Mus musculus: one gene and its partners. The protein of the gene in region 1 interacts with the protein of each later gene in a pairwise test. Links are inferred from orthologs where the notes say so. Each region holds a gene or a part of one and is shown in the gene's direction. Other genes may lie near its edges.

Region 1 (4,495 bases):
CCTCTGCCTGTCACTGACAACCTGGTCTGTCTTTAGGCCAGGAGAGACCATCTGGTCCAACCCACCCCCCACCTCTACTAACAGAAGGGGAAATGAAGGTCTGGAGCGAAGGAGCAGTCTGGCCAAGGACCTGTCACCGTCGCACCATCCAATAGCAACCGGTCTTGGTTCAGTTTCTACTTAAACTCTGGCTTGCCCCTCTTGAGTCTACGACAGACTATGTAATAGGCCACCACATGGCCTCTGTTTTCATGGCACAAAAAAAAAAAAATACGTTTTGCAAGATGTTTTTACTTTTACTCAAGTTTTCTCCACAGAGCTGCTTTTTACCTTTATCGTTGTTTAATTTACAAATGAGTAAGGTAGAATCCTTGGACAAATTAAACTAGAATCTGTGTTTCCTCTGATGACCCAGTCCAGGGCAATCATGCGTTCAAGTGCATGCACGTCCCAGGCTCTACTGTAGGTCGTGAACTCAGACAGCTAGAGGCAGGAGGCCAGCTCCTCAGCAGGGAGTCACAGGACTCGCTATCTCGGAGAAGGAAGAGGGTGGATACTGGGCTTAGTGAAGGGCGTAAGAGCATCACACAAAGCAGGGGTGGGATGAGGAGGAGGCAGCAATCTACACTCTGTAAAGAACTTCAATCCTAGCACGTAATGGACGATTCAGAAACAAGCGTTAAAGGTGCCTCTCTGAGAGAAGCGGGTGGACTATCAAGGAACTCAGTCTTTGGGACGCATTAGAAGGCTAAAAGAGGAGGAGAGCTCTTAAAAGATTCGAGGAGATGTCAATCCAGGTGAACAAATTGGAAACTTTAAAGAGGTTCCAGAGCCCCGGTGCCCATTAGCTGGGAGGGGCCAGGGAAAATGGGAGCCTTTCATGGAGGAGTAAGTTAAAGGTGATGGGAGGTGGGCAGACAAGTTCAGGAAGGACAGCCGTTGGGGCCGTTGGACACTGGGAGCTGGCGCTCCGCCCTCTTTCCTCTCTCCCCCATAGCCCCCCTCCCGCACCTCCCACCACCATCGACGTCCCCTGCGCGTGCGCGCGCGGACACCGGTTGCCAAACATTGCATCATCCCCGCCCCCCCATCCCCTCCCTCGCCGCGCTCTCCTCCGCGCGCGCGCATGACTCACTCACCTCCTCCGCGAAGCCGCGTGACCCAAAGCCACTTCCGGGTCCGAGACAACGTAGACTCTCAAGCCAGAGGGCGCGATGGGGGTGGGGCCGTGAGACTCCTGAGTGGCGGATGTAAGGGATGAGGCGGAGCCAGTGCCAGCGTGCCGCTTTCTGATTGGTAGGCTCCTGGACCCTGCCCCCCCCCCAGGAGGGGCCGGACAGCATAAAGGATACTCGCTCTCCGCTCTTGAGGTCAGTTATCTTGAGCCTAACACGTCGATTATATCATGTTGAAGATGAGCGGGTGGCAGCGACAGAGCCAGAATAACAGCCGGAACCTGAGGAGAGAGGCGAGTACTGGCTCCGTCTAACCCTTACCTTCCCATCCTGGCCAGCATAGCTATTTTATAAAGTTGGAGACAACTGTTCTGGAGGATGTAGCCCCACCCCTTCCACTGTAAGCTTGTAGACTGGGAAGGGTGAAGGCCGGGAATCCCTGATTCAGGAATGGTGCTTACAGGCCCTCTCTTGCATTGGGCGATTGCATTCCCGTTCCCTTGTCTCGAGTTGGTCCCCACTCTGCAGAGGGACTCCGGTTGCCTTCGGGAACTTGTCTCTGTAGTGCGAACTGCGGGCCAGCTTAGGCCTGGGCAGTTCGCAGGAAAGGCGGGGCAGCAGGACACACCCCCAAAGTCGGGGACTCTGGCTGTCTCAGCCTTTTCTTCACCAGCCTCATTCCCCCCAACTCTTTCAAGCTGAAGCGCCTCAGTCAAGGGGCCAACATGGCCACGTTAGTAGCTGACTCTCAAGTTCAAGAGAACGCGAAGACTGACAGATCTTTGCGAGTGGGGGTGCTGGTGGGAGGAGCATAGATGGGTTTTTCCCTTTTCCCCAGAGGTTTCTAGGTTTCCATACAAGAGAGCAGCCTGGATCTCTTTAACTATGGGAAATTATTTGGGATCTCTCCAGGGTCTTCTGCTTCTCCCAGGGCTGATTGATCTCTGCTTCTTTCCTCAGTCCCGTCTCCTAACTAAACTGTGTAACCATTGCGTCAGGCCAGCCCACTGTTTGTCTCTGCACCCTCAGGCCTGGGGCTCCTCTGCTGATGAAAGCCAGGTCCCACACACTGGAAGACCAAGGGAGTTTTCCCTAGAGGACAACCCTGCAGAGAAACACTCAGGGCAATATTGCATCTGCAGTCCCCAGAGACAGCCAGCTCCGCTCTGCCTTTAGGCTCAGTGGGCTTAATTCTCTATAAGGGAACTTGGGGGAGGGGCTTTTTCCCCATTCATTCCTAACAAATGCCTAATAAGCACCCACTATGTACCAAGTATCTGGGGACCCAGGGTATATTAGGAGCAAAAGATAAAACTGTTCTCAATAAAACTTACATTTCAGTATAAAGCAAAAGGGAAAAAAAAAACAAAAGCAGGGCAGAATAGTTCAGGGCGGTGACTAGAGGTTGTCATCAGAAGCCAAGCCTGTGAGCCAAGCCCCGGTGTTAGAGCTTTATAGAAGGGAGAGGCTGAGCAACAGAGTTAAGATAAGCATGCCATGCCGGTATCTTTAGGAACAGGACTAGAGTAAGCAGGAGAGGGTGATGAAAGGAAACTCAAGCAGCCGGTCTCATAGAGCCTTGCAAGCACCCTCATGATGCTAATCTTTAACAATCATGAAACAGGAAGCCATTGGGGGATCTGAGCAGAGGAATGATCATAGCACATGCATTTAATTCCAGCACTCAGAGAGGCAGATCTCTGAGCTCCAGGCCAGCCAGGGCTACATTATGAGACCCTGACTCAAAATAAATACAAAAACAAAGGGTTAGGTATGTAGCTCAATAGTACACTGCTTGCCTGGTATGTAGAGGACCCTAGGTCAACCCACAGCCGTGAAAATAAAGTAAAAGACAAGAATAGAAACAGGAGGTCTCAGCTGAACATAGTGGCACAGCCTTTAATCCCAGCACTTGAAAGGCAGGCAGATCTAAATTCAAAGCCAGAGAGTCTACAAAGCAAGTTCCAGGACAGCAAAAGCTACATAGTGAGACCCTGTCTAAAAGAGAAAGAAAGGAAAGGAAAGGAAGAAAGAAAGGAGAGATTTCAAAGAGGCTTCCAAAATAATCCAGGGAAAGAAATGTATGGTAAATTTATATCTGGAGCCAGGCAGTGGTGGTGCACGCCTTTAATCCCAGCATTTGGGAGACAGAGACAGGCGGATTTCTGAATTCGAGGCCAGCCTTGTCCACAGTGAGTTCCAGGACAGCCAAGGCTACACAGAGAAACCCTGTCAAGAAAAACCAAAAAAATAAATAAATGAAAAATAAAAAATTGCATCTGGAAATAATGTAGTAATGAGAAATACTTAGGTTTGGGGTACTTTTAAAGTTGTCAGTGCTTTAGGCTGAGCTGTGGTATCTGAGAAAGGGGCATCAAGGATACCAAAGTTTTTGGCTTTCAGCACCTAGAGTTGCCATTTAGTAAGAACTATACAGCCTTGGTAGGAAAGGCCTTTCATGTAAGCTGAACGCCTGCTCAACACTGCCAAGGAGCTGGAGATCCCAGAGCAGGTCTGCACTGAGGCTGCCAGTGGGGGGATGGAATCTGAGCAAGCACTGCTGAGTTTACTCTTCCTTCCCTCTAGTTCTGTCTCCCTTTGGCGGACTTGAGGTCTATCTGGGATTTAGAGAAAACTTAGTTGGCCAGGACTTTGCTATTATGTAATCAAGACGGCAAATGTCAGCAACTAAAAATAAAGTTAAGCCTGCCTCTGTCCTTGGAGTTGGCTTCAGGGACACACACGCTGCAAGACACACGCCTGTGTGTGTGTGTGTATTACAAGAGAAGAAATGGCTTCAGGGACACACCCGCTGCAAGACACACACACCTCTGTATGTGTGTGTGTGTATTACAAGAGAAGAACTGGAGCCTGGTCTGCAGAGTTGTTGAGTTCCAGAATTCCAGGATGCCCAGGGATGCACAAAGAAACCATCTCACAACCCATTTTAGAAAGGATCTAGAAAAGGGCTAGGAGGAGTTAGAAAGGATCTAGAGAGGGGCTAGGAGGAGTTAGAAAGGATCTAGAGAGGGGCTAGGAGGAGTTAGAAAGGATCTAGAGAAGGGCTAGGAGGAGGCTGGAGGTAAAGGACTGTTTTTTCCTTTTCTCCACAGTGTTCCAGAAGGAAGTGCATCTTCATACACCACCACACCTGAAAGCAGGTAATCTTGGCCACCCTCTCAGTCAGCTGCGAATGCTGCTCATGTTGCTTTGCTGGGGGAGAGTTAGACAAGGCCTTCATCTGAACAAGCTTTTGCTGTCAGACCATGTCTTTCTCTGACCCCATAATGTTGTTTGAGAGCTGGCTTTCGAAGTCAGCC
Region 2 (3,614 bases), on another chromosome or scaffold:
TCTAATCCCAGGACTGTGAAAGCTGAGGCTGGCCAGTCTCAAGTTGGAGGCCATCATGAGTTATGCAGTAAATTTATTATTTGAATGTTTTCCTCTTTTCATTCATCGTTTGGGGTTTGGGCAGTGCACCAGCTGCTGTGTAAAGGCTGGAGGACAGCTTGTAGGAGTTGGTTCCGTCCATCTGTGTGGATCCTCAGAATTAAGCTCGGAATCACATTGCAATTGGTTTGTGTCTTAATCCAGACAGATTGAGCACACTAAGGTTTTAAAAATATCCCCCTCCTCAACTCGTGTTTCCTAATTCCCTTCCACGCTGAGAGCCGCCGCCTCTGAGGTAGGCAGCTGAAGGAACTTGGGGATCATGGATCTTCCTCTTTCCAGGCAGACTGCCAGATTCACCTGCAGCCCCAGCTGATACCACCCAACATGGAGGAGTACATGAACGGCCTGCTCTCAGCTGTGCTGCCGTCCGTGCTCAACAAGTTCCGGATCTACCTGACCTTGTTGAGATTCCTGGATTACAACCTATCAGACGACATAACCAAGGTACACCTAGTCAAGCAAGACTCCTGTTACCTTCTGGGGTTCATGCAACTTACTGCAGTTACTTGCTAGGCAGGGTTAGTGTTGGGCAACTCTAGTCTTCATTGTGCTCTTCTGTTTAAAAGAGATTTCATTTTTTGTGCTTTTTCTTAGCAGCCTCCTTTCTTTCTGCATTTCGGTTGTTTCTGTTTGGTTGGTTGAAGTATTTTCACACTGGGAGCCAGCCAGCCCCTTTATGTCAGTCAGCAAGTGCTCTTCCTCTCATCTCCAGCTCCTGCCGCAGCCTTGTGTTGTCCCTCACTTAGGCCTGACAGATGGGTTCACTACATTAACACAAACGAATCTGCTGCTTTCCAGGCTGTTCCACAGCCCCCCAGTCACACTAGGACTTATTTCACAGGTGCTAGCCAGTGTCACAGGACACTTAGTGTATCATCTTACTAATTATCACTTTGTGCTATTGTCTTTCAAACCAGAGGGGAAAGCTGAACAAGAAAATACAGTTTGTGTTGCCCTTCTGAGTTGTTTGTGGTTTTACTGTATAGCCTAGGCTGGCCGTAGACTTAGAAGAAATACATGGCTATAGGCAGACATCATGCATAGCTTTACACACTGGTCAGGATTTCCTTGTGCAGCTGCCTAAACCAAGGTTGTGTCTTCTGTGACAACTTCTTCAAGCTTTTTCTGTGACCATTCTTTTTTTTGTCCATTTGTTTTATGATGCTGGGTTTCAAACCCAGGGCCTTCACTGTGCTAAGCACCTACCACTGCTCTCTCTTCTGACCCCACTGATCCCACTGTGCAGATCAGGCTGGCCTCAAAGTCAGAGAGATCTGCTGCCTCTGCCTCCTTAGTGCTGGGATCAAAGCTCTTAGCTATTCCATCGTCTGTTCCCTTCGTGTTCCGCTCCCCCCCCCACCCCCCCACCCCCCCGTTCTGTCAGCAGTAGCTGTACTCCTTACAAACATGCCTCTAAAACCCAGAGGAGTTGTCAGTCCCGAGATCCTATTGTCTGTCCTACTGAGTTTGCGTGCTTCTTAATGTGTGCATTATTTTGGTCAAGTCTTTAGCACCCTGTTAAAGAAATTGTTAATCCCAATCCAGGTTTCTGCCTGGCCTTAATCATTTAGTTCCCAATAAAGCCTCACACAACCTTTATATTTACAATAAGCTTTAAATACCACAAGAGCTGGGTCGTTATCTACCCTCTATGCCATTAGAATCTACCTTCTATCGTTAACCCCTTGTTATTACTATGTTTCATCTGGGATGCTCTTAATTCCAATTGGCCAGCCCTCAGGGCCACATTTTCATGACTCACCTAACTCATGGCAACTTTACCTCCCTTCACCGTCTTCTCTCCCTCCTGGTTCTCCTCCCCGCCCCCCCAACCCCCACCGCAGGCCCAGGAGCCCTGAAACCTGCCTGTGCCTCTTCTGCCCAGCTACTGGCTGTAGACATCTTTATTCAGAAATAACTTGAGGGCAAGGTCACATAGAATCACTTGGGTCTATGTGCGTAGGGACTCTAGGGCAACCAGATCTTGAGGAACCAATATTAGTATTAGAATACAAACTGCGTCAATCCACTGCAGCAGCCTTCAAATTTTTAGGGGCCATTGTTTTTGGTTTTCTGTCTTTTTTTAGTTCCTTCCTGCTGCTTTCTCTCCCACTGGCCCTCATTACACTTACGTCAGTACATTTGATGGTGAGCTGCGGATCTTTGAAGCTGCGGTCATTTTCCCTTATTTTTCTTTCTGCTTCAGTCTAAAAAGCTTTTGTTCACCTATCTTGAAATTTGATTAATTTTTGTGCCTGCTCAAATTTTCTACAATTATTGCTGTTAATTGCCTTATTTTTTATTTATAGAATTTCCTGTTTGCTTCTTTTTCAACATTATTTCCTTATTGATGTTCTCTGCTCGGTGAGGCACTGTTCACATAGTCTTTAGTTCTTTATACAATAGTCACCCCTTTCCAAGAGTGATGCATGCTTGAGCCCCAGGAAGTGCTTTTAACTGGAGCTAGTACCTGGTCTCACGTACACTATGTAAGGGAAACATAATGGTGTATAGATAAGCTTAATGTATATAGCAAGCTATTCGTGGTAACAACAGAGGAACAGCGATAACAGGCTTCAAGTAAGATTAGGAAAGGCGGGCTGGTGAGATGGCTCAGTGGGTAAGAGCACCTGACTGCTCTCCGAAGGTCTGAAGTTCAAATCCCAGCAACCACATGGTGGCTCACAACCATCTGTAACAAGATCTGACCCCCTCTTCTGGAGTGTCTGAGGACAGCTACAGTGTACTTACATATAATAAATAAATAAATCTTTAAAAAAAAAAAAAAAAAAAAAAAAAAGATTAGGAAAGGCAGCCTTGCAGATCAGAGCAGCAGCGCAGGAACTCCAGCCCTGCCTAGAGGACATCACCTGAGGAGGATGGAGTGTGTAACAAGCTCAGATGTCACAGCCTCAATACTCTTACCAAGAGCCACTGTTTTCTTGTATAAATGGTACCCAAGATACTGGCAGTTTCCATGGTTTTGACAGAGCTGAGTGCAGCCATTGTACTTGCTGTATTGGGCCCAGGCAGGTCTGTAAGTTACCGTCCCCCCGCACCGTCGCCGCAGAGGGTGCTGGCTGCTAGGCTTGTTCGGCATCTCAACCGGGCCAAGCTGAATGTAGAATGTTTTCCGTGTTGCATTTTGTAATGGGCCTTAAGTTTTGTTTTTTCTACCATTATTTTTACCTCAATCAAGGATCATGTTTCCTTTCCTCTAAAAAGTAAGGGAATTGTTTTGAAGGGACACTTTTACAAGTGTGTTGCTCTGTGACACAGGCGGTTGAAGATGATTTTGTGGAAATGCGTAAAGATGACCCTCAGAGCATCACGGCTGATGACCTCCACCAGCTGCTTGTGGTGGCTCGGTAAGTGCGCTGATCCAGGTCACCTCAGCTGCCGGCTGTGTGCATTTGATCTGCTCAGCAGTGTCTGAGGCAGAATTCTAAAAACAAAGGAACTTCTCCTTCCAAAGACATCGAGAATTGAACAGATGGACAAAGCTTTTGTCT
Region 3 (3,304 bases), on another chromosome or scaffold:
AGCTCAGATTTCCAGAACTGAGGTGTTGGCTCCGTTGGTAAAGTGCTAACGGAGGACCTGAATTGTGTTCTCAAGCACCCATATAAAAAGTGGGGCGGGGGGAGCACGTGGCTGGAATGTGGGCGATGGCGAGATTGGAGGCAGATCCCTGAAAGCCCGAGGGCCACTGGCAGTTCCAGGTAATGAGACATCCTCTCTCAAACAAAATGTGGACGGTGCCCGTGGGAGTTCTTCTGACCTCCATGTGCGTGTCACACATGCGTGCACCTGCACCCATACATGTGTGCACACACATGGAAAAGAAAAGCCCAGATTCCAGAGTCCAAATTTCTTCCCAAATCCCAGATCTGCAGAAGAGCTGCCTGCAAGCTTCTGGCCTGAAATGAGGTTCCTTTGCCTCTCAGGGGACTTGGGGGAGGCCCCCAGGACTTGGCAAGGTTCTGTTTATTCAGGTCCGGGAACCCCATTATCTGGAGAAGTTGTTGTTTCTCAGCAACTTCTATGCCCCAGTGCTGTGGTGGCTGGTAAATGACGCAGTCCCCACAACACTGGAAGACATTTCTGGACCAAGCGCTTGTTGCCTCTGCACAGAGTACAGGGCTCCTCCTTGTTTGAAGTTTCACCCTCTATGGTTTTAGTTAGCCAATGTCAACTGTGGTCTGAGGATACTGAATGGAAAGTTCCAGAGATAAACAATTCATACGTTTTAAAATAACTCCAGCTATAGTATACTGTCATAAATGTTCCATTCTGTGTTTATTTATTGATAATCGCTTCCTATGTTTAATAAACTTCATCAGAGATTTACAGGTGTAGGGAAGCTCATAGTGTCTTCTGGGTATTGTCCAAGGCTTATGGATGGTTTGGAACAGGATCGCAAAACCCAGGAGGGAGCAGAATAGAATGCCAAGTCCATCGTAGATCCTCAATATTCAGAAAGGCTATAAGCACCCTAGCACCTGAGCAAAGCAGGCAGAGCGCGTGAGGCAACCACAGACACAAGGCACTTGGCGTGTGTTGGGGAGTAAGAGGCACAAACTGCTTTCCTCTACCTGGGGCTGGCCCGACTGCCAACCTAGAGGTGCATACGTGCGTGCGTGTGTGTGTGTGTGCGCACACACACACACACACCACGGCAAGGTTTTCTGAGGTTTGTCCCTACCAAACTTGTATGTGTATTTCATCCCTAGTGAAACAACAGAGTTGAGGGGTGGTGGTGGCCACAAGGGGGGATTGTGTCACTAAAAAGTACTAATGTCTTTCTCAGTTTCTCTTCTATTGTTTTTCTTCCTTCTCTCTTCCCTCCTTTCCTTCCTTTTCAGTGTTGCAGATTGAACCTAGGGCTCCATTGCTTCTTCACACTAGGCATATCTCCCAGCCCTTGAGAATACTCATCCATTTAGAGACAGGGTGACAAGGGACTGTCTCTCTGTATTTCCTTTCTAGCCTGGGCTGGCTTCAAACCCCCAATCCTCCTGCCTCCCCGTGCTTCATGACAGGACTGTGCCACCACTCCCAGCTTGTCTCTCACTAGTGAGGGGATGGGACTGGTTATTGTAAGTGGATTGTTAAAGAGACCCCCTCTCTCTTATACACAAGCTCCTTTTCTAAGCTCCCCACTTGCCCATCCATTTTCCCATCATGCACCCCTCAGCCACCATGTCCTTAAACCTTCAGAACTCTGATCTAAATAAACTACCCAGCCTCCTGGAGTTTTCTTATAGTGACAGGGAAGAGACATCTTAGGTGAAATTGCTATTCCTATTAGTCAAAATAGACAGCAATCAGCAGTTGCCCACGGGTCAACCTTATACTTACGCACACCCACATACAAATCTATGTGTATGTGTATGTGTGCACAGGAATTCTCAGTTGCCCTCTTCATGGCTGTGCTAATAGAAAACTTTAGCTCCCTGTGTACCACCTTTCTGCCATCATGTACCACCAACCTTCCCCCGACCCCCGACGCGAGTCATCATGCCGATTGTCTCTTTACAGGAGAGTGAGGACCTGGAGAAACAGAACGCAGCTCTCCGCAAAGAGATCAAACAGCTCACCGAGGAGCTCAAGTACTTCACATCAGTGCTGAGCAGCCACGAGCCCCTGTGCTCCGTGCTGGCCAGTGGCACCCCCTCGCCCCCCGAGGTGGTATACAGTGCCCATGCCTTCCACCAGCCTCACATCAGCTCGCCACGCTTCCAGCCCTGACCTTCTGGACAAGAAGGGCGATGCTACTCCCGTGATCCCTTGGAGGGGCATGTAAACTGAGGCCGGGCTGCCCTCATACCTCTACCCAGAGGCCCAGTGGCAGAGGCCTGGACAAGTATTGAACACAAGAACTGTAGTGGTCAGAGGGACTTAAGGCCTCCCAGGGAAGTATAGTCAATGTACTGGACTCTCCCAGGGAAGTCGAGCCAATGTACTGGACCCAAAAAATGACAAGTCAACCCTGGACTGTCATGAATGATGCCCAAAATACACAGCACAGAGGGAGGAGGGCAGGGGGTGGATAGTTTTCTAAATAAATATTTTCTAAAAAACCAGCCCTGGAAAGCGGCTTCCCTCACTTCTCCCATCAGCATCGTGCGAACTACTTTCTCTTGATTTGGCACCTGGTTTTCCTTCTTGGCTTCAGGGAGCTCTTCCAGACTCTATGAATTCCACTTAGCTGTCTGCTCCATGTTTTGTTCCCTGTTTGGGAAGCTGGTCTCTTCAAATCATCTTCAACCTCTAGCTATCTCCCTCACACTCCTCCACAGTGTGACACCCCCCCCCCCAGCCGTGCCTCTTGCACGGTGCTTTCTCTAAATGGTGGAGCCAGTCACTCTACAGTTAGAGAAAGGGCTGTATAAGACAGGTCAGGGAAATCTCAGTTTCTCCCACTTGTACACCTTCCTGGTTGGCTGCTGCAGCCCTACAGTCAAGTCTCAAGGATGCTGTGGCAGGTTCCATGCCAGGAATATGGGTAACACAAACGCAGCACCTCCCATTCAAGGCCGTAGGTAACCTTTTGCCACACCCTGCCAAAGACGCCCTTAGAAATAGGACACTCAACCTGTACACTGAGTGTCCCAAGGTTGAGTAGCTCAGGGCTGTGTTCAATTTGGACATCTGGTAGAAACCAGTGTTCTTCATTTCCCTTTGATGTCCACCTGTTTCTCAGAAGTCCCCAGGCCACACATCTGTTGGTCTTCATGTTATGCCTTTACCCATAACAGTGCCCAGAAGCAAGAACAGCCGTCTCCTCCAAGGTTGCTTTGGAGCCTGTCCTTCTCCATAGTCTCTGCTGACTGGCTGGGCACCA
Region 4 (3,870 bases), on another chromosome or scaffold:
CAGAGTCCCTGAGGTGGCTTTAGAAGTTGCTGGTTGGAATGGCCCAAGTGTCCCCTACCTGACTGGAAGCTTATTCAGTTGGTCGAAGAGCAGGCTCTGCATGCTTGAGTTTGGATCCCAGCATCTGTGCTTGTAATCTTAACCCTCGCTGGAGAAGCAGAGACTGGTGGGTCCCCAGAGCTCACTCGCCAACCCGCCTGCCAGAATTGATGAGCTTCAGATTCAGTGAAAGACCTTATCTTAAAACGGTAGACAGGCTTTGGGGAGACGGCTCACCTGTTAAGAGCATTGGACGCTTCAGGAGAACCTGGGGTCTAGTCCCAGAACTCTCCGTTTTTGAGGATCTGATGCCCTCTTCTGGCCTGCACAGGCACTGCACACATGTGGTTCCCAGACATACATGCAGGGAAAACACCCATGCATATAAACTAAAATAAAGATGTGAGTCGCTTGCATCCCACGCGCAACACAAACATTTGGGAGAACCTGGTTCGGGTTAGAGTAAACTGGAATAAGATAGAAGCTGGGTTAGGTGGTGAAAGCAGGGGCCCTCTGCAGCTGCCTAGAGTCACATCGGGAGATTGTCAGCCAGGGACATACCCAGGAAAGAGTCAGGGGAGTGGGACAAATATTAATTGAATAATAGCTCTGGACCTGGTTCAGGGAAGAGAGTAGGCAAGGGGCCTATCAGAGACTGCCATTACGGAAGGTGGAGAGGGTGTAAAGCTGACTGGCATAAGGGAGAGGGTGGGCGGGTGGTTCCAGAGTGTAAGGAAGAATGTGTGTGAGGTGCGAGAGGGACCTTCCCCTGAGGAGAGCAGAGAACCCCCATCGCAGAGCTGGGTTCAGACACTTCAGAGTCCTCTGAACGTCTCCTGTGTTTATGGCTTTTGACTTCCTGAGATCCAGCCGCACTTACTGTCTGTCGCTGGTCCCTTTAAGAGGAGAAGAGGGGCCCCAGTGGGCAGGGCTCCCTGTACTGGAGATGTTCTCACTATTGCAATATCAGTTACAGGACCAGAGGGCATGTGACTACCATGACAGTCCCCAGGGATCTCTTATTCCAAGGCAAACTGAGGAGAGTGTGTGGCCTGTGTGGCTTTCTCTGCAGGGAGTGGTCCAGGCAAGAGGCTCTGAAGTTGCAGTGTTGAAGATGGCACGGAGGAAGGGGGGAAGGGTGGATTTGGGGGGTGAACCACAGTAGGGATCCTCTTAGGTTCCTGTTCCAGGAGCCTCCTGAGGACCTACTCAGTGCTCAGTCATGTGTCCTGGGAACAGCGCCAGTGCCCACAGCAGTGGAGAACAGACTGGGCGTAGGGAAGTCATACAGGGAGGGGGCTCCAGAGAGCTGCAGGAGGTGGCAGGAAGCGGGACACATCCTGAGGCTTTCCCTGCATCATGCAAGGCATGATCACAGAGTTCTTTGTACAGCCCAGACACACCATCTCTCTCCCCCGAGTAAAACACTTCCTCCTAGTTGGGCTGAAGAGGCAGGGTTCTGTATGGTGTCTAGGTTTTCCTAGCTTGATGAGGACTGGAGATGGAATAGCAGATGAAGGGAGATAAAAGTCACAGAGACAGACAGACAGACAGACAGACAGACAGACAGACAGACAGACAGACACACACACACACACACACACACACACACACACACACACACACAGATCCCTTGATCCCTTGCAGAGGTGCTCAGACATACCATAGATGTGCCCCTATGCCTGTGCTCATTGAGATCCACTCACTAGACAGTGGTCACAGTCCCACACTTGAGGATGTTGGTGGCTGTTCTCCAGGACCAGTTGCAAATGACTGATCTATCCTCCCCATAGCTTGCCCTCCCCCACCTGCGGAAGAGCAGAGGGAACATCATCAACATCTCCAGCTTGGTCGGGGCCATCGGCCAGTCCCAGGCCCTTACCTACGTGGCCACCAAGGTAGGCCAGCCCCTCTTCTCTCCTGTCCTCTTGTAAGGGTTACAGCTCTGAGGGGAAAGGTAACCCTGCAGTTGATGTAGGGTAACAGCTTGGATGGTAAGCTATCCTGATGGTCAGGATCCTCCCTCTGCTCTGGTGAGAAGCAGGAGAGAACTGGGCAGAAGATGGGGTTTATGTAGAATTTCTTGCGGGAGATTTTCCGGGGTGGGGATTGGTGCGATTTCAAGTTGAGAGTTCGTTTCTACTCTGTAGGGATGGGGCTGGGCTAGATCCCACTGTTTAGGGCAGTTAGACTGTCCTTTGGGTGGGGCCTGGCATTTGGGGGACCTCAGGAGAGATGTGACCACTCACCTGCCTGTCTTGCCTGTAGGGGCTTACACCTTTCCTAGCTATTTGGGTTTCAGCTTTCAGCTTTGAGCCTACAATCCACCTCCTCTTTCTTTCTTTCTTTCTTTCTTTCTTTCTTTCTTTCTTTCTTTCTTTCTTTCTTTCTTTCTTTCTTGAACTCACTTTGTAGACCAGGCTGGCCTCAAACTCAGAAATCTACCTGCCTCTGCCTCCCATGTGCTGGGATTAAAGGCATGAGCCACCACTGCCCGGCTTATTTTTTAAAATAATTTATATTCTCTCTGTCTCTGTCTCTCTCTGTGTCTCTGTCTCTCTTTCTCTCTCTGTCTCTCTCTCTCTGTCTATCTCTATCTCTCTGTCTCTCTCTCTCTGTCTGTCTCTGTCTCTTTCTGTCTCTCTCTTTCTCTTTCTCTCTCTGTGTGTGTGTGTGTGTGTGTGTGTGGGTGTGGGTGTGGGTGTGGGTGGTAGTGGTCATAGAACAACTTGCAGGAGTCAGCTCTCCGCTACCACGTGGGTCTCAGGAACAGAATCAGGAACCTGGGCTTGGCAGCAAACACCCTTCCTTATCCTCACCAGTCAGATTGTATTTATTTTATTTATTTTATTTAATAATCTTTGAGACAGAGTGTCTCTGTATAGCCCTGGCTGTCCTGAAACTGTACAGCAGGCAGGCATTGAACTCAGAGTGCAGTAAAGTCATTAAAAACATACTTATTTATGTTTATTTTGAATATATGAGTGTTTTGCCTGCATGTGTGTATGGGGGCCTTTCTGGTTCATGCTGAGTTCAGAAGAGGGAATCTAACTCCCTGGACCTGGGCCATCCGGTGGTGCCGGGAATGGAACCTGCTTCCCTTGGAAGAGCAGTCAGAGCCGGGCAGTGGTGGCACAAGCCTTTAATGCCAGCACTTGGGAGGCAGAGGCAGGCAGATTTCAAAGTGAGTTACAAGACAGCCAGGGCTACACAGAGAAACCCTGTCTCGAAAAAACCAAAAAAAAAAAAAAAAAAAAAAAAAAAAAAGAGCATCAGTGCTCTTAACTGCTGAGCCATCTCTCCAGCACTGATTTTTTTTTTTTTTTACATTTTTTTTTGTGCTTTTTTTTTTTTTTGATATTTTCTTTATTTACATTTCAAATGTTATCCCCTTTCCCTGTTTTCCTCCTGGAAACTCCCTATCCCATGCTCCCTCTCCCTGCTTCTATGAGGTGTCCCTTCACCCACCCACCACTCCCATCTCCCTGCCCTTGATTCCCCTACACACTGGGGCGTCTATCGAACCTTTATAGGTCCAAGGACCTCTTCTTCCATTGATGCATGGCATGGTCATCCTCTGCTACATATGCAGCTAGAGCCATGTGTACTCCTTGGTTGATGGCTCAGTCCCTAGGAGCTCTGGGGGGTCTGGTTGGTTGATGTTGTTCTTCCTATGGGGTTGCAAACCCTTTCAACTCCTTTGTAGCCGCCAGCAGCCACAGGTTCCTGGGTTCCTGCAAGGAAAGATGTGGTTGGATGGGAAAGGCGGTGAGAGAAATAACAAGCCAAGACAAAGTTCTCTGATCAAAGCCTAATGTTTACTTATGAGTC
Region 5 (4,297 bases), on another chromosome or scaffold:
ACTTGTAAGGGATGTCCACTTAATGTAGCAGTGTGGCTGCTGTTTTGGTTTCCAGAGCAAAGAGAGGACATAGTTACCCTTTTGTTGCTTTTGCATGGAAAGACTAGGTAACTTCTGTATGTGTGCACATGCACTTGTGACTTCTTTGGGTATAAAAACATCTCATTATGTAGGCCTCGTGTTTTATGGTTGGTTCCGTCTCAGTAAACAATAATAAAGGCTCCTCTGAGGAAGGAGGATGGAGTTAGGGATATAGGGACTGGAGAGTTAGGTTCGAATTAATAAATAGCAATCAATCATATAATCAAGGACGACCTTGAACTATGGTACCCGAGCGCTAGGGTTGGGTTGTACAAGGCTTGCAAATAATCACTGAGCAGTAAGTGGCAGGCACTGTGCCAGTTGAGTGGTATTTGTGTGAGTCACTTAAACAGAAGTGGAAACTCTTTTTAAGATTTCCAGGCTGGAGTTGGAAAGAGCCTCTCAGCACTCTCAAAACAGCATCCTTTATGGTGAGGCCTTGACCAGTACCTGGGGCTCCCGATCACTTAGGCGGCAGGCTCACTCATCAGGATGACTTCTTGGGAAGGTGATACCTGGAAGTTAAGGCTTGAGAGCCAACTGAATAAACCTGATCTTAAGGGAACTGACCCTATACAAACCGGCAGTGAGGGCCTCTATGATGGGAGGATGGGCATAGGAGGTTAGACCTGAGGTTAGGCATGTTTCCCCGGTTCAGGGGAAATCGCTGAACTGGAGGAACCGGAATATCTCCCAAGAAGACCCCAACACGAACGCCCTGCCTCCAAGTGCCGTCCCTGTCCCAGGACTGACAGGAAGCTGAAGGTTTGGACCAGCTAACTCAGAAGGGTCTCTCCACATGCCTGAAGCCTGCCCACTCGGTTCTGGAAACAACAAATACATGAAAAGATGGCTTCCAGCCCAAAGGTCACGCCTGGAAGCTGTTTGCTCGGTGCGGAGCGATGCCGGAGAGAGCAAATACACATGGATCACATCTGACAAGAGATGGCAGGTGTGACAGTCTGGCGCCCGGAACCTCTGGTGGCTCCTCCCTTTCCACGCAGACCCCTGATCCTAGAGCGCCCAGGTGCAGAGCCAATAGGAACTTGAGGTTTAGGTGACTCGCCACGCCTGGGCCAATCAGCTCGACGCGCGCTCCGACGGCGTCTCGCGTGATAACCTGGCAGCTTCGGCTTTGACCGTCAGAGCTTTGGCTAGGTGTCCCACCCCGCCTTGTAAGACACCGGAAATTCGTCAACGAGCGATCCCTCCGCGCTCCGGAACCAGACCGCGGCTGGTCGTCAACCTATAAAGTAGTGCACTTTTCTCTCATGGGGCCTTTAGGACGATCTCTAACGCCACAGTTACCCCCCGAGCACAGCGGAGAAGGGTTGGGGCGGGCGAGGGCGTCAGTGAGAGGCGGTTTGGTGGCGCTGCGGTAGGATCACGTGACCACAGTGGGAGGATACGCGGTGTGCTGCGTCCCTGGCCGAGGCTATAAAGGGCGGGTTTAGGGCGTGCCGCCGCCATTTCTGCTTGCTGTCTGCCGGTTTAAGTTGTGTGCTCGGGTGTCCCTTTCCTCTTCCCCTCCCGCAGGGCTTGCGGCCACCATGGCGTATTAGAGGCAGCAGTGCCTGCGGCAGCGTTGGCCTTTGCAGCGGCGGCAGCAGCACCAGGCTCTGCAGCGGCAACCCCCACCGGCCTAAGCCATGGCGTGAGTATGGGGCCGGCCGCGGAGGGCGGGGGCCTCGCTGTGGTTGGGTGCGGCCCGGGCGCGGTGGCCGGCACACGCGGTTTTACAAGCGGCCGGACGCGTCGGCCTTGTTTGCGTTGCCTGCGACGCCGGCGCTCCCGGGCAGAGCTGGGCGGAGGAGTGTCTAAAGCGCTACTGCTGCCCCTTCGTCCTGTCTTAGCTTAATCATCTCGGGCTCACCGGGGTCCCCGTGTCATCCTGCGAACGTGGCGATGCCCAAGATGGCGGTGGGGCGGGGGTGTGAGTCACGGGGGCGGGGCGCGGCGGCCTTGGCCGTATTAGGACGCGAGGACAAGCTGCTTCCTCTGGGTGGCCGGTGAAGCAAAGCTAAGCCTCCATCTTGTGCAACCCGAGCTGGCGGCCGGGGAGGCTTACACAATGGCCTTGGGCCCGCGTGCTCTCCCTGTAGACGCTTCTGGGATTTGGCCATCCGGCATCTTAGATAGAAAGATGACTGGACTTGCTTTTGGGTCCCCATCCAGGCTCTTCACGAAATCCAGCAGCAGTGTTGCTGTAACGGACAAAGATACCTTCGAGTTAAGCACATTCCTCGAATCCAGCAAAGCCCCACAACATGACCGAGATGAGCTTCCTGAACAGCGAAGTGTTGGCGGGGGACTTGATGTCCCCCTTCGACCAGTCGGGTTTGGGGGCTGAAGAAAGCCTAGGTCTCTTAGATGACTATCTGGAGGTGGCCAAGCACTTGAAACCTCATGGGTTCTCCAGCGACAAGGCGGGCTCCTCGGAATGGCCGGCTATGGATGATGGCTTGGCCAGTGCCTCAGACACCGGCAAGGGTGAGTAGGACGGCTGTCCTGGTGTGCCCTTTTCATATGGATCTGGTGTTCTAATGGCTTTCTGCCTCCCGAATATGACATGAACCGTTCACACCTGAATTTCTTTTCCCAGAGGATGCCTTTTCCGGGACAGATTGGATGTTGGAGAAAATGGATCTGAAAGAGTTTGACTTCGATGCTCTGTTTCGAATGGATGACCTGGAAACCATGCCAGATGAGCTCTTGACCACGTTGGATGACACATGTGATCTTTTTGCCCCTCTAGTCCAAGAGACTAATAAGGAGCCCCCTCAGACAGTGAACCCAATTGGCCATCTCCCAGAAAGTTTAATAAAAGTCGACCAGGTTGCCCCCTTTACATTCTTGCAGCCTTTCCCCTGTTCCCCAGGGGTTCTGTCTTCCACTCCAGAGCATTCCTTTAGTTTAGAGCTAGGCAGTGAAGTTGATATCTCTGAAGGAGACAGGAAGCCTGACTCTGCTGCTTACATTACTCTAATCCCTCCATGTGTAAAGGAGGAAGACACTCCCTCTGACAATGACAGTGGCATCTGTATGAGCCCAGAGTCCTACCTGGGCTCTCCCCAGCATAGCCCCTCCACCTCCAGGGCCCCACCAGACAATCTGCCTTCTCCAGGTGGTTCCCGTGGGTCTCCTCGGCCCAAACCTTATGACCCACCTGGAGTTAGTTTGACAGCTAAAGTGAAGACTGAGAAATTGGATAAGAAGCTGAAAAAGATGGAGCAAAACAAGACAGCAGCCACTAGGTACCGCCAGAAGAAGCGGGCTGAGCAGGAGGCCCTCACTGGCGAGTGTAAGGAGCTAGAAAAAAAGAATGAGGCTCTGAAAGAGAAGGCAGATTCTCTGGCCAAGGAGATCCAGTATCTGAAAGACCTGATAGAAGAGGTCCGTAAGGCAAGGGGGAAGAAGAGAGTTCCGTAATAGGGTAGTCAGGTGCTTTGTGCTTGTACATAGTCTTGTGTTGCTGTGTTTGCTGTAATAAATTATTTTGTAGTGAAAGTACCTATGTGGGTTTTCAGTGTCATTCTTTGTAATAGACTTAACTGCAGACGTTCCTGGGTTAGATACAATAACTACCTGGGTATATCCCAGGGCTGAGCTGAGCTGTTTGAGACGGTGAAGATGAGGGAGCTCTGGGTTAATGAAAGGAACAGCCTGAATTCCACCTGTTCATACTGGCTTTGTGCCAGATAGCTGCCATGTAAGTACCTAGATGAGGTACCCGCCTTGAGCACACAGAGGATTAGGTTTTTCTCAGGCTTAAGGGATAGAGCTCATATTCCCTCTGACACAGATGGCTGGACTGTTTCCACCTGGTGGAAGGGCTGGGGTGATAGTAAACAGTGGCAGGTACTGTCTACAGAGGTGAAAATGAGCAATGTAGGCAGGAAGCTGGGAAGGGAACCTAGGCTTCCAGCTCCAGGGTCCTGGGCTACCTGCATCTTTACCTCTTAAATCTGGAAACTGTTAAAGCCTGCAGGGTTAAGAGGGATCTTTCAGCCTTCCCAATGCCAGTAGACTCACCTGAATGTTAGCTGTTGGGATGAATGTAGTCCATTGGGTTTGCTAATCTAGGATTCCTAAAACTATGGAATCCACCCGTAGTCTGGCCAAGAGTGGAGGAAGCTGTAGAAACCTTGACAATGTCAGGTATGACAAAAGGCTGGAAGTACTGCTTGCTCCCGTTTAGCCAGCCCAGACTGAAGCT
Region 6 (4,179 bases), on another chromosome or scaffold:
ACAGTTACCCGATCCTTGGAATACCCAGCTTAGAAACTGTTCTATTCTTAGGGCTGGAGAAAGAGTTCAAGGGTTCAGAGCACTCACTGCTCTTCCAGAGGACCTGAGTTTGACTCCAGGCATTCACACTGGGTGCCTCACAACTGCCTGTAATTCCAGCTCCAGGAGATCTGATGTCTCTGGCTTCCATGGGTACCTGGAAGTGTGCACACACATACACAAACACACACACACCACACACACACACACCACACACACCACACACACACACACACCACACACACCACACAAACACACACACACCACACCACACACACACATACCACACAACACAACACACACACACACAACACACACACACACTCACATACTTTAGAATAATGAAAATAAATTCATTTTAAAAATTCTGTCCCTCCCCCTAGAACATCTGTTTGCAATAAAAGAGCCAGGAAGGTATGGTAGCACAGCTATCAACTCAGCTCCGTGGAGAATGAAGCAGGAAGATGAGAGTTCAAGGCCAGGCTAGGCTAAAAGGGAGGCTCAACCTAAAAAAAAACAAACAACTGAAAAGTGACACACTTCTCATGTCTCTGTGTTCTTTTCTTGTCAGTAAATCCAGAACCGTGTCTGAAGCAGGGCCACAACCAAACTGGAGAGAGCAGGAAGTTCCGAACAAAACAGAAAAATGAACTTTGGGGGTTAGTAGAAGATCAAGAAGGGCGGGCAGGCAGCTACCAGCTTCTCCTTCGGACCCCGAAACAGCCCCAGGAAGAGGTGAGGACAAGAGAGAAGACTTCTCAAGCCTACAAGAGGAAGTGGACCCGAGAGACACGCACAGGTCAGAAAACAAGGGCCTGCATGCAGCTCAGGGCACAGGAAATAGGAGGCAGAGCCTCAGGCCAGCGCGGGTGGGGTCAGCCAGAACAGCTTTTAGGGTGGAGCAACTGGGACCTCCAGCAGATCCTTTCTGTTGGTTCTGAGGCTGCAGCTTGCCTGGGCCTGAGGTACAGGACCCATGTCTTGACCAGAAACCTCAGCTATGTCCTGGCAGCCCCGGACTGTGCCAGGCTGCTAGCCATAGCCAGATCTGGAGACATGCACACAAGCCCTGTGCAAAGACCTAACCGAAGAACCTTAATAGGGGCCCTCTGGAGGCAAAGGCAGGCAGAACTCTGTGAGTTCAAGGCCAGCCTGAGCTACATCGTGAGACCCTGTCTCAAAACTAGCAAATGGGCATACCCTGTACTAGGGCCAGGGGTAGCTTGGTCCTAGAATCTACTACTACTTCCCAAACCCTTCAAACAATGATGGTCTACACAGAGAAAAATGTCTTGGGAGGTGGGGCTACAGAAGGAACTGACTTACCCCGGGGTAGGTGGAGTTCAGGACTTGGGGGTGGGGGCGGGGAGGGGGGGGGACGGGACAGGGAGGAAGATGCATCAAGGGAGGAGTTTAGACCAAGTTGGCACTGGGGGAATGCTTTGTCTATTGGCTCTGGCTTGACACCTCACTCTGCACAGGTCTCTTTGGAAATCGGAGGAAGACAGATATTCAGAGAAGCTACTCTGGGCAAGGGATTAGAATCCCTTGAACTCGCAGGGCAAAAAGGGCCATTTTCTCAAACAGCAACTTCTGGACTGTGGCTGGGGCCTTCGCAAAGAGCGCCCTAACTGCTAAGCACCCCTCCCTCCGGGGTGTGCCCTGCCCCTCCCTTAGTCACCCCAAGGAGAGAGAGGAAAAGGGAAGAAAGGAAGAGGTACTGACTACAGAAGGAAAGGGAAGCAGAGGAGGAGAGAAGCCACGTAGGAGTTGGTGACGGAGAAGACCAGAGAGGGCAAACCTAGGGCAAATCTAGGACCGGGGGAGATCCAAGAAAGGGCAGGCTGAGCATCCCAACGGGCGGGCGCCCCCAGCACAGGACCCAGGGGCGGGGAGCCAAGGGGGCGGGCCGGCCATGTCCCACGGGACCTACTATGAGTGCGAGCCTCGGGGTGGCCAGCAGCCACTTGAGTTCTCAGGGGGTCGAGCTGGGCCCGGGGAGCTGGGGGACATGTGTGAGCATGAGGCCTCCATCGACCTCTCCGCCTACATCGAGTCTGGGGAAGAACAGCTACTTTCTGACCTCTTTGCCATGAAGCCAACGCCTGAAGCCCGAAGCCTTAAGGGCCCAGGAGCCCCCTCGTTTCCTCACTACCTGCCGGCTGACCCTCGGCCATTCGCCTATCCCTCACACACATTTGGCCCAGATAGGAAGGCTTTGGGGCCTGGCATCTACAGCAACCCAGGGAGCTACGACCCCAGGGCTGTGGCGGTGAAGGAGGAGCCTCGTGGGCCAGAGGGCAACCGAGGCACCAGTCGAGGCAGCTACAATCCCCTGCAGTACCAAGTGGCACACTGCGGGCAGACAGCCGTGCACCTCCCCCCGACCCTGGCAGCACCTGGCCAGCCCTTGCGTGTCCTCAAGGTAAGACCAAGGTAGCTCTCCCCGCTTCTTCCCCCCAGGGTGGAGCAAGGTGGGTGGTTGAGGGAATTCTGACTACTGGGCTTCCCTAACAAGTCTATGTTTGGTGCTCCTCTGTGAACATGCCCTACCCCAAGGTCCTGTTTCCCAACTCTGTGAATTTATTTCTTAGAACTCGGCTGTGTCCTGAAGACACTTGTAATAGCTGCTCTGCCCTGATCTCAGGCAGGACCAGGTTTCCTGCTGTGCACTATACCTCTTGCTTCTCTGCTGCCTGCTTTTGGATGAGGAAACATGGCTGACTAGAATTTTAGAACGGGAGACTTATTACAGACAAACCAAAGGGAAGGGAATAATGAGAGCATGATAGAAAGCTTTGGTCTCAGACCAAGGACCATATGTATCTGGGTTACGGTCCTTCACAGAGACAGGGAGATGGATGCCTGGGAGATCGGAGCTCTCTGGGAGTCCTGTATCCCTTTGAGGCCTCACATATGCTCTCCCTGCTGGGTTTCCTGCTTAGCCTTCACTCTGCCTCCTGGTGGACCCTCACCTCTCTGTCCCCCTTACCCTCCAGGCCCCTGTGGCAGCTGCTGCCCCTCCCTGCAGTCCCCTTCTCAAGGCACCCTCCCCTGCTGGCCCCTCACACAAGGGCAAGAAGGCAGTGAACAAAGATAGCCTGGAGTACCGACTGCGACGTGAACGTAACAACATCGCGGTGCGCAAGAGCCGGGACAAGGCCAAGAGGCGCATTATGGAGACTCAGCAGAAGGTCCTGGAGTACATGGCTGAAAACGAGCGTCTGCGCAACCGCGTAGACCAGCTCACTCAGGAGCTAGACACTCTGCGCAACCTCTTCCGCCAGATCCCTGAGGCTGCTAGCCTCATCAAGGGTGTCGGGGGCTGCAGCTGAGCCTGCCTGGCAGACTGTGGGCACCAGACCCTAAGGGCCCCGCCCACCCTTCTAGGTCCCCAGAGTCCTGAACAGGCCAAGCCTGAGACAGAGATCGTGGACAATGGCAGCCAGTAATTGGGAAGGTCGGGACCAAATGATTCTGTGGCTGAATAAACTGCACTGTTACTTGATGCTGAAGCTGTTCACTGGGTCTTGGGCCTGGGCCTGGTGGGAGGGGATACCCATGGAGGACCCCAAGGGCAGGGAATACATGTGGCTAGTCCACATAGTCTTGACTCCATGTCCAAATGAATGCCTAGAAATACTAACATGCCGCCCACGGCTGGCTCTGTCCATCACACCCTCCAGCCTAGCCTCAGCCTGTCCCTCTGCTTCTCTGTCACTTCACCTCCATGTCCACCCCACCTACCCACTTGGTCCTTTGTACATCGAGTGTGTGCTTGCTACCACCACAGTGCATGCCAGTGTCTGGAGCAGCCTCTGCATTCTGCCCTGAGAGAATCCTGGGGCTCTGATGACCCCAGTGCCACACAACTCCAGTGCCAGCCCCACTGGCCTAGGGCCTGCTCTCTGACTTTAGGCCTCAGAGCTCATTTCCCAGGTGACCAAGAGAAAGCTTTCTGATGACTCTGCCATATTTGTGGTCCCTTGGCTCTTGATCCAGCATTCTGCCTCTTGTCTTGTTCTACATCCTCACTCCCATCTTTATCCTTCATCCCCGCAGGCCACTGGAGAAGGTAAGCCCAGGAGAAACCAGTTAGGATCTGGTGTGTATGTGAGAACCCTGACCCCGAGGAAGCCA
Region 7 (3,870 bases), on another chromosome or scaffold:
CCCAAAGGATCAGATTATAGACCTGTTCCATCTCTCTCTCTCTCTCTCTCTCTCTCTCTCTCTCTCTCTCACACACACACACACACACACACACACACACACACACACACACACACCACTCCCCCCCACTCCCCGCCCCACATATCACACACACACACACACACACACACACACACACACACACACACACACACCACTCCCACAGGAGAAACTAGAAGTCATTGTCAGGAAGAGAAGAGCTGGCGGGGGTGCAGTTGGGGGAGGAATACCATTATAAAGCCCCATAGAGAGAAGGAGCTTGGAGCATGGTGGGAGACAGGAAGAAGGCCAGGATGGGACGTGGTAGTAGTGGTGGGGGTGGGAGTGGGGTGGGGGTGATAGCCTTGGAGCAGAATCTGGGAAGTCATAGACTCTGAGGTCCAAGCTGACTACTACTTCCTTGTTGTTTGTTTGTTTTTTTTCGAGACAGAGTTTCTCTGTGTAGCCCTGGCTGTCCTGGAACTCACTTTGTAGACCAGGCTGGCCTTGAACTCAAAGATCCACCTGCTTCTGCCTCAAGTGCTGGGATTAAAGGCGTGTGTCACCATGCCTGGCTTTCTTTACAGTTTTCGACTACACTAGTTCTAGAGATTTCTCTTTGTTTTGTGGTGACATAATTTAGAGTCCTAGGCACGCTAGCTGAGCACTTTACCCCTGAGCTACATCCCCAGCCCTTTGCATGGCATGGCTTTTGGTAGCAGCTCTATTAAGATAGATCTCACAGCCGGGCAGTGGTGATGCACGCCTTTAATCCCAGCACTAGGGAGGCAGAGACAGGCAGATTTCTGAGTTTGAGGCCAGCCTGGTCTACAGAGTGAGTTCCAGGACAGCCAGGGCTACACAGAAACTCTGCCTCGAAAAACCAAAAAAAAAAAAAAAAAAAAGATAGCTCTCACATCCCATGCAGTCCGCCCACATGTATAATCCTGTGCTCTACTGTGACTAAAGTGCACCCTGAGGTGTAAACCGTTAATCACCAAAAACCATGGCTCACACCTGCAATCCCAGCATTAGGAGGCAGAGGCTGGTGCAGGCCAGTTTCTGGGTTAGAGACCAGCATGGGTAATATAGTGGACAACAGGATAGCTAGGACTGCATAGAGAGCCTGTCACAAACATGAGGCCAAGTCTGGTAAAGTGGCACATACCATAATCTCAGCACTTGGAAGGCAGCATGAGGAATTCAAGTTCATCTTCAACTGCATTGAAAGTCTGAGGCAGCCTAAGCTACATGAGATCCAGTGTCAAAAAATAATAGTAGTAATAAAAAGAGGAAGAAGCAGCCGCGCATCCTTTAGCCATCACATTATAGTCCCATCATGGCTAACCTCAAGTAATCACCTGCCCCCTCGCAGTCTCTATAGACTACTTATTGCAGGTATTTCCTATGCTTGGGAGCAGACAATATGTGGTTCTTTCACTGAGCACAATGTTTTCAAGGTTCACTCACATGCTAGCAAGCAACTCTTTATTCCTTTCTACAGCAGAGTAATGGACCAAGAGACAGGGATGTCATATTTACTCATCTGTTCATTTGCTGATGGACATTAAGAGTTATTTTATTTTTTTCTTAGTTTTGTTTTGTGACAGGGATCTCTATGTATCCCAGGCTGTTCTGGAACTTGCTCTATAGACCAGGCTGGCCTCAGACTCACATAGATACTCTTGCCTCTGTCTCCCAAGTGCTGGGATTAAAGGTGAACACTAAAGGTGTGCACCAGCAATGCTGGGCATATTCTTCTCATTTGTATAGGAAGTTTTCAATTCATAACCCATGAGTCTGTGGCCTGTCACCTGTTTTCAGTTGACTCAAATGATGCGGGCACGTGTGTATATAGTATAGTATAGTATAGTATAGTATAGTATAGTATAGATGTTCAGGACATAAACCGTGAAGTAAAATGTAAAAACCCCAACTCTTCTGCTGTAGCACTACTCTTTATTCTCCCCAGAAGCAATCACCAGTGACAACTTCCTGGTCATGTATGTTAGGTTTCATCACACAATACTTTATTATCACTTCGTGTACCATAAGGGCATGGCTCCACCTATACTCTGGGCAAGCTGTACCATGTATGTGTGTGTATACACACACACACAAACACACACACACACACACACACACACACACACTCTTAATGGATTCCTGGGGAATGTGTGTGGGGTCTTGTAAAGGGGCTTCTACTTATCCCTAAACATCCCCCATTCAGGTGTGGATGGGACAGTGAGTGGCTGGGAAGAGACCAAAATCAACAGCTCCAGCCCTCTGCGCTACGACCGCCAGATTGGGGAATTTACAGTCATCAGGGCTGGGCTCTACTACCTGTACTGTCAGGTAAGCCCTGCCTGGCTTCAGGGGCAGAGCAAAGGCTAAGGGGAGGAGGGACTGGCAAGGAATGGGTGGGAGAGGGAGACTCTGCGACTCATGAAGGAAGATGCCTGGCTTTCGATGAGGGAGGCAGAGGTCTGGATTTGCTTGCCTCTCTCTGTTCCAGGTGCACTTTGATGAGGGAAAGGCTGTCTACCTGAAGCTGGACTTGCTGGTGAACGGTGTGCTGGCCCTGCGCTGCCTGGAAGAATTCTCAGCCACAGCAGCAAGCTCTCCTGGGCCCCAGCTCCGTTTGTGCCAGGTGTCTGGGCTGTTGCCGCTGCGGCCAGGGTCTTCCCTTCGGATCCGCACCCTCCCCTGGGCTCATCTTAAGGCTGCCCCCTTCCTAACCTACTTTGGACTCTTTCAAGTTCACTGAGGGGCCTTGCTCTCCCAGATTCCTTAAACTTTCCCTGGCTCCAGGAGCATCACCACACCTCCCTACCCCACCCCCACTCCTCCACCCCCTCGCTGCTCCTTGGTCCAGTCCTGTCCTCTCCTCAAAGGCAGCCAGAGCTTGTTCACATGTTTTCCATTCCACAGACGTATCCTTGCTCTTCTTTAACATCCCATCCCACCACAACTATCCACCTCACTAGCTCCCAAAGCCCCTACTTATCCCTGACTCCCCCACCCACTCACCCGACCACGTGTTTATTGACTTTGTGCACCAGGCACTGAGATGGGCTGGACCTGGTGGCAGGAAGCCAGAGAACCTGGGACTAGGCCAGAAGTTCCCAACTGTGAGGGGGAAGAGCTGGGGACAAGCTCCTCCCTGGATCCCTGTGGATTTTGAAAAGATACTATTTTTATTATTATTGTGACAAAATGTTAAATGGATATTAAAGAGAATAAATCATGATTTCTCTTCTTTGGGGTTCAGAGTAACTGAAGATTGTGGGAAGGGGATTTAGGCTTTGGGGAACAGGGACCTGCATGCCTCCAAGCTGCAGTTCTGAATAGAAATCACAAAGGTACCAGAAAAAAAATGCAAACAAACAAACAAACAACAACAAAACCCACCTGGTCCTCTGCTCAAGGTGCTGCAGAAGCAGCCTCATTTTCCTAGCAAAGGACTTCCTCCTGCAGGGGAATCCCTGGCTAGGAGGAGCAGGGCCCTTCCTCTTGGCAGCCTCAAGCAGTTGAGCAGGTGCTGGCAGAGGTCTGGCTAGGACATGGGATGGGATCTAGCTTGGGAAGGGGCTTAGAACCAGCCGTAGGAAGGATTCCGGTGGGCCAGCTACATGGGCGTGGGGAGGAGAGCTGCACCGACTGAGGGGCTTGCCGCTTTTGTCTTTTCTCTTTGTCCAGAGAACCTTATGTAAGAACTCTTCTTGGGAAACAGGAAGTCCAGCTTGCCAAGTTCAGCACAGGGAGTAGTGCAGGCCTGGTTCCAACACACCCGGCCCAGCCTTAACCCCAGCACCCTGCCAGTTTCTTGTCCCTGGTTCTCCTCCCTGCTGG

The links.
Region 2: the proteins of Ddit3 (region 1) and Mcmbp interact in binary tests that used the Homo sapiens proteins (3 or more experiments, as listed by UniProt). The two-hybrid records come from large-scale screens. The link is inferred for Mus musculus from reciprocal best matches to the Homo sapiens genes DDIT3 and MCMBP.
Region 3: the proteins of Ddit3 (region 1) and Batf interact in binary tests that used the Homo sapiens proteins (3 or more experiments, as listed by UniProt). The link is inferred for Mus musculus from reciprocal best matches to the Homo sapiens genes DDIT3 and BATF.
Region 4: the proteins of Ddit3 (region 1) and Hsd17b14 interact in binary tests that used the Homo sapiens proteins (3 or more experiments, as listed by UniProt). The two-hybrid records come from large-scale screens. The link is inferred for Mus musculus from reciprocal best matches to the Homo sapiens genes DDIT3 and HSD17B14.
Region 5: the proteins of Ddit3 (region 1) and Atf4 interact in binary tests that used the Homo sapiens proteins (3 or more experiments, as listed by UniProt). The link is inferred for Mus musculus from reciprocal best matches to the Homo sapiens genes DDIT3 and ATF4.
Region 6: the proteins of Ddit3 (region 1) and Cebpe interact in binary tests that used the Homo sapiens proteins (3 or more experiments, as listed by UniProt). The link is inferred for Mus musculus from reciprocal best matches to the Homo sapiens genes DDIT3 and CEBPE.
Region 7: the proteins of Ddit3 (region 1) and Tnfsf12 interact in binary tests that used the Homo sapiens proteins (3 or more experiments, as listed by UniProt). The two-hybrid records come from large-scale screens. The link is inferred for Mus musculus from reciprocal best matches to the Homo sapiens genes DDIT3 and TNFSF12.

The regions. Positions count from the first base shown.
Region 1 is NC_000076.6:127,289,424-127,293,918, forward strand, and holds the start of Ddit3 (DNA damage-inducible transcript 3 protein), read left to right. Parts: upstream 1-1,369; 5' UTR 1,370-1,468; exon of another isoform or gene 1,469-1,575; intron 1,576-4,288; 5' UTR 4,289-4,336; exon of another isoform or gene 4,337-4,495. UniProt on the Homo sapiens protein: Multifunctional transcription factor in endoplasmic reticulum (ER) stress response. Plays an essential role in the response to a wide variety of cell stresses and induces cell cycle arrest and apoptosis in response to ER stress.
Region 2 is NC_000073.6:128,699,175-128,702,788, reverse strand, and holds part of Mcmbp (mini-chromosome maintenance complex-binding protein), read left to right. Parts: intron 1-381; coding exon 382-546; intron 547-3,381; coding exon 3,382-3,470; intron 3,471-3,614. UniProt on the Homo sapiens protein: Associated component of the MCM complex that acts as a regulator of DNA replication.
Region 3 is NC_000078.6:85,706,545-85,709,848, forward strand, and holds the end of Batf (basic leucine zipper transcriptional factor ATF-like), read left to right. Parts: intron 1-1,998; coding exon 1,999-2,208; 3' UTR 2,209-2,543; downstream 2,544-3,304. UniProt on the Homo sapiens protein: AP-1 family transcription factor that controls the differentiation of lineage-specific cells in the immune system: specifically mediates the differentiation of T-helper 17 cells (Th17), follicular T-helper cells (TfH), CD8(+) dendritic cells and class-switch recombination (CSR) in B-cells.
Region 4 is NC_000073.6:45,561,083-45,564,952, forward strand, and holds part of Hsd17b14 (17-beta-hydroxysteroid dehydrogenase 14), read left to right. Parts: intron 1-970; exon of another isoform or gene 971-985; coding exon of another isoform or gene 986-1,123; intron 1,124-1,832; coding exon 1,833-1,937; intron 1,938-3,870. UniProt on the Homo sapiens protein: Catalyzes the NAD(+)-dependent oxidation of L-fucose, yielding L-fucono-1,5-lactone, which rapidly converts spontaneously to L-fucone-1,4-lactone. Can also act on D-arabinose and L-galactose, with lower catalytic efficiency. Does not use NADPH.
Region 5 is NC_000081.6:80,253,951-80,258,247, forward strand, and holds Atf4 (cyclic AMP-dependent transcription factor ATF-4), read left to right. Parts: upstream 1-1,233; 5' UTR 1,234-1,735; intron 1,736-2,256; 5' UTR 2,257-2,348; coding exon 2,349-2,571; intron 2,572-2,683; coding exon 2,684-3,510; 3' UTR 3,511-3,595; downstream 3,596-4,297. UniProt on the Homo sapiens protein: Transcription factor that binds the cAMP response element (CRE) (consensus: 5'-GTGACGT[AC][AG]-3') and displays two biological functions, as regulator of metabolic and redox processes under normal cellular conditions, and as master transcription factor during integrated stress response (ISR).
Region 6 is NC_000080.6:54,709,734-54,713,912, reverse strand, and holds Cebpe (CCAAT/enhancer-binding protein epsilon), read left to right. Parts: upstream 1-1,738; 5' UTR 1,739-1,954; coding exon 1,955-2,464; intron 2,465-3,038; coding exon 3,039-3,374; 3' UTR 3,375-3,550; downstream 3,551-4,179. UniProt on the Homo sapiens protein: Transcriptional activator. C/EBP are DNA-binding proteins that recognize two different motifs: the CCAAT homology common to many promoters and the enhanced core homology common to many enhancers.
Region 7 is NC_000077.6:69,685,755-69,689,624, reverse strand, and holds the end of Tnfsf12 (tumor necrosis factor ligand superfamily member 12), read left to right. Parts: intron 1-2,248; coding exon 2,249-2,373; intron 2,374-2,533; coding exon 2,534-2,785; 3' UTR 2,786-3,385; downstream 3,386-3,870. Other genes in the region: Tnfsfm13 (tumor necrosis factor (ligand) superfamily, member 12-member 13), read left to right, coding at 2,249-2,373, 2,534-2,668. UniProt on the Homo sapiens protein: Binds to FN14 and possibly also to TNRFSF12/APO3. Weak inducer of apoptosis in some cell types. Mediates NF-kappa-B activation. Promotes angiogenesis and the proliferation of endothelial cells. Also involved in induction of inflammatory cytokines.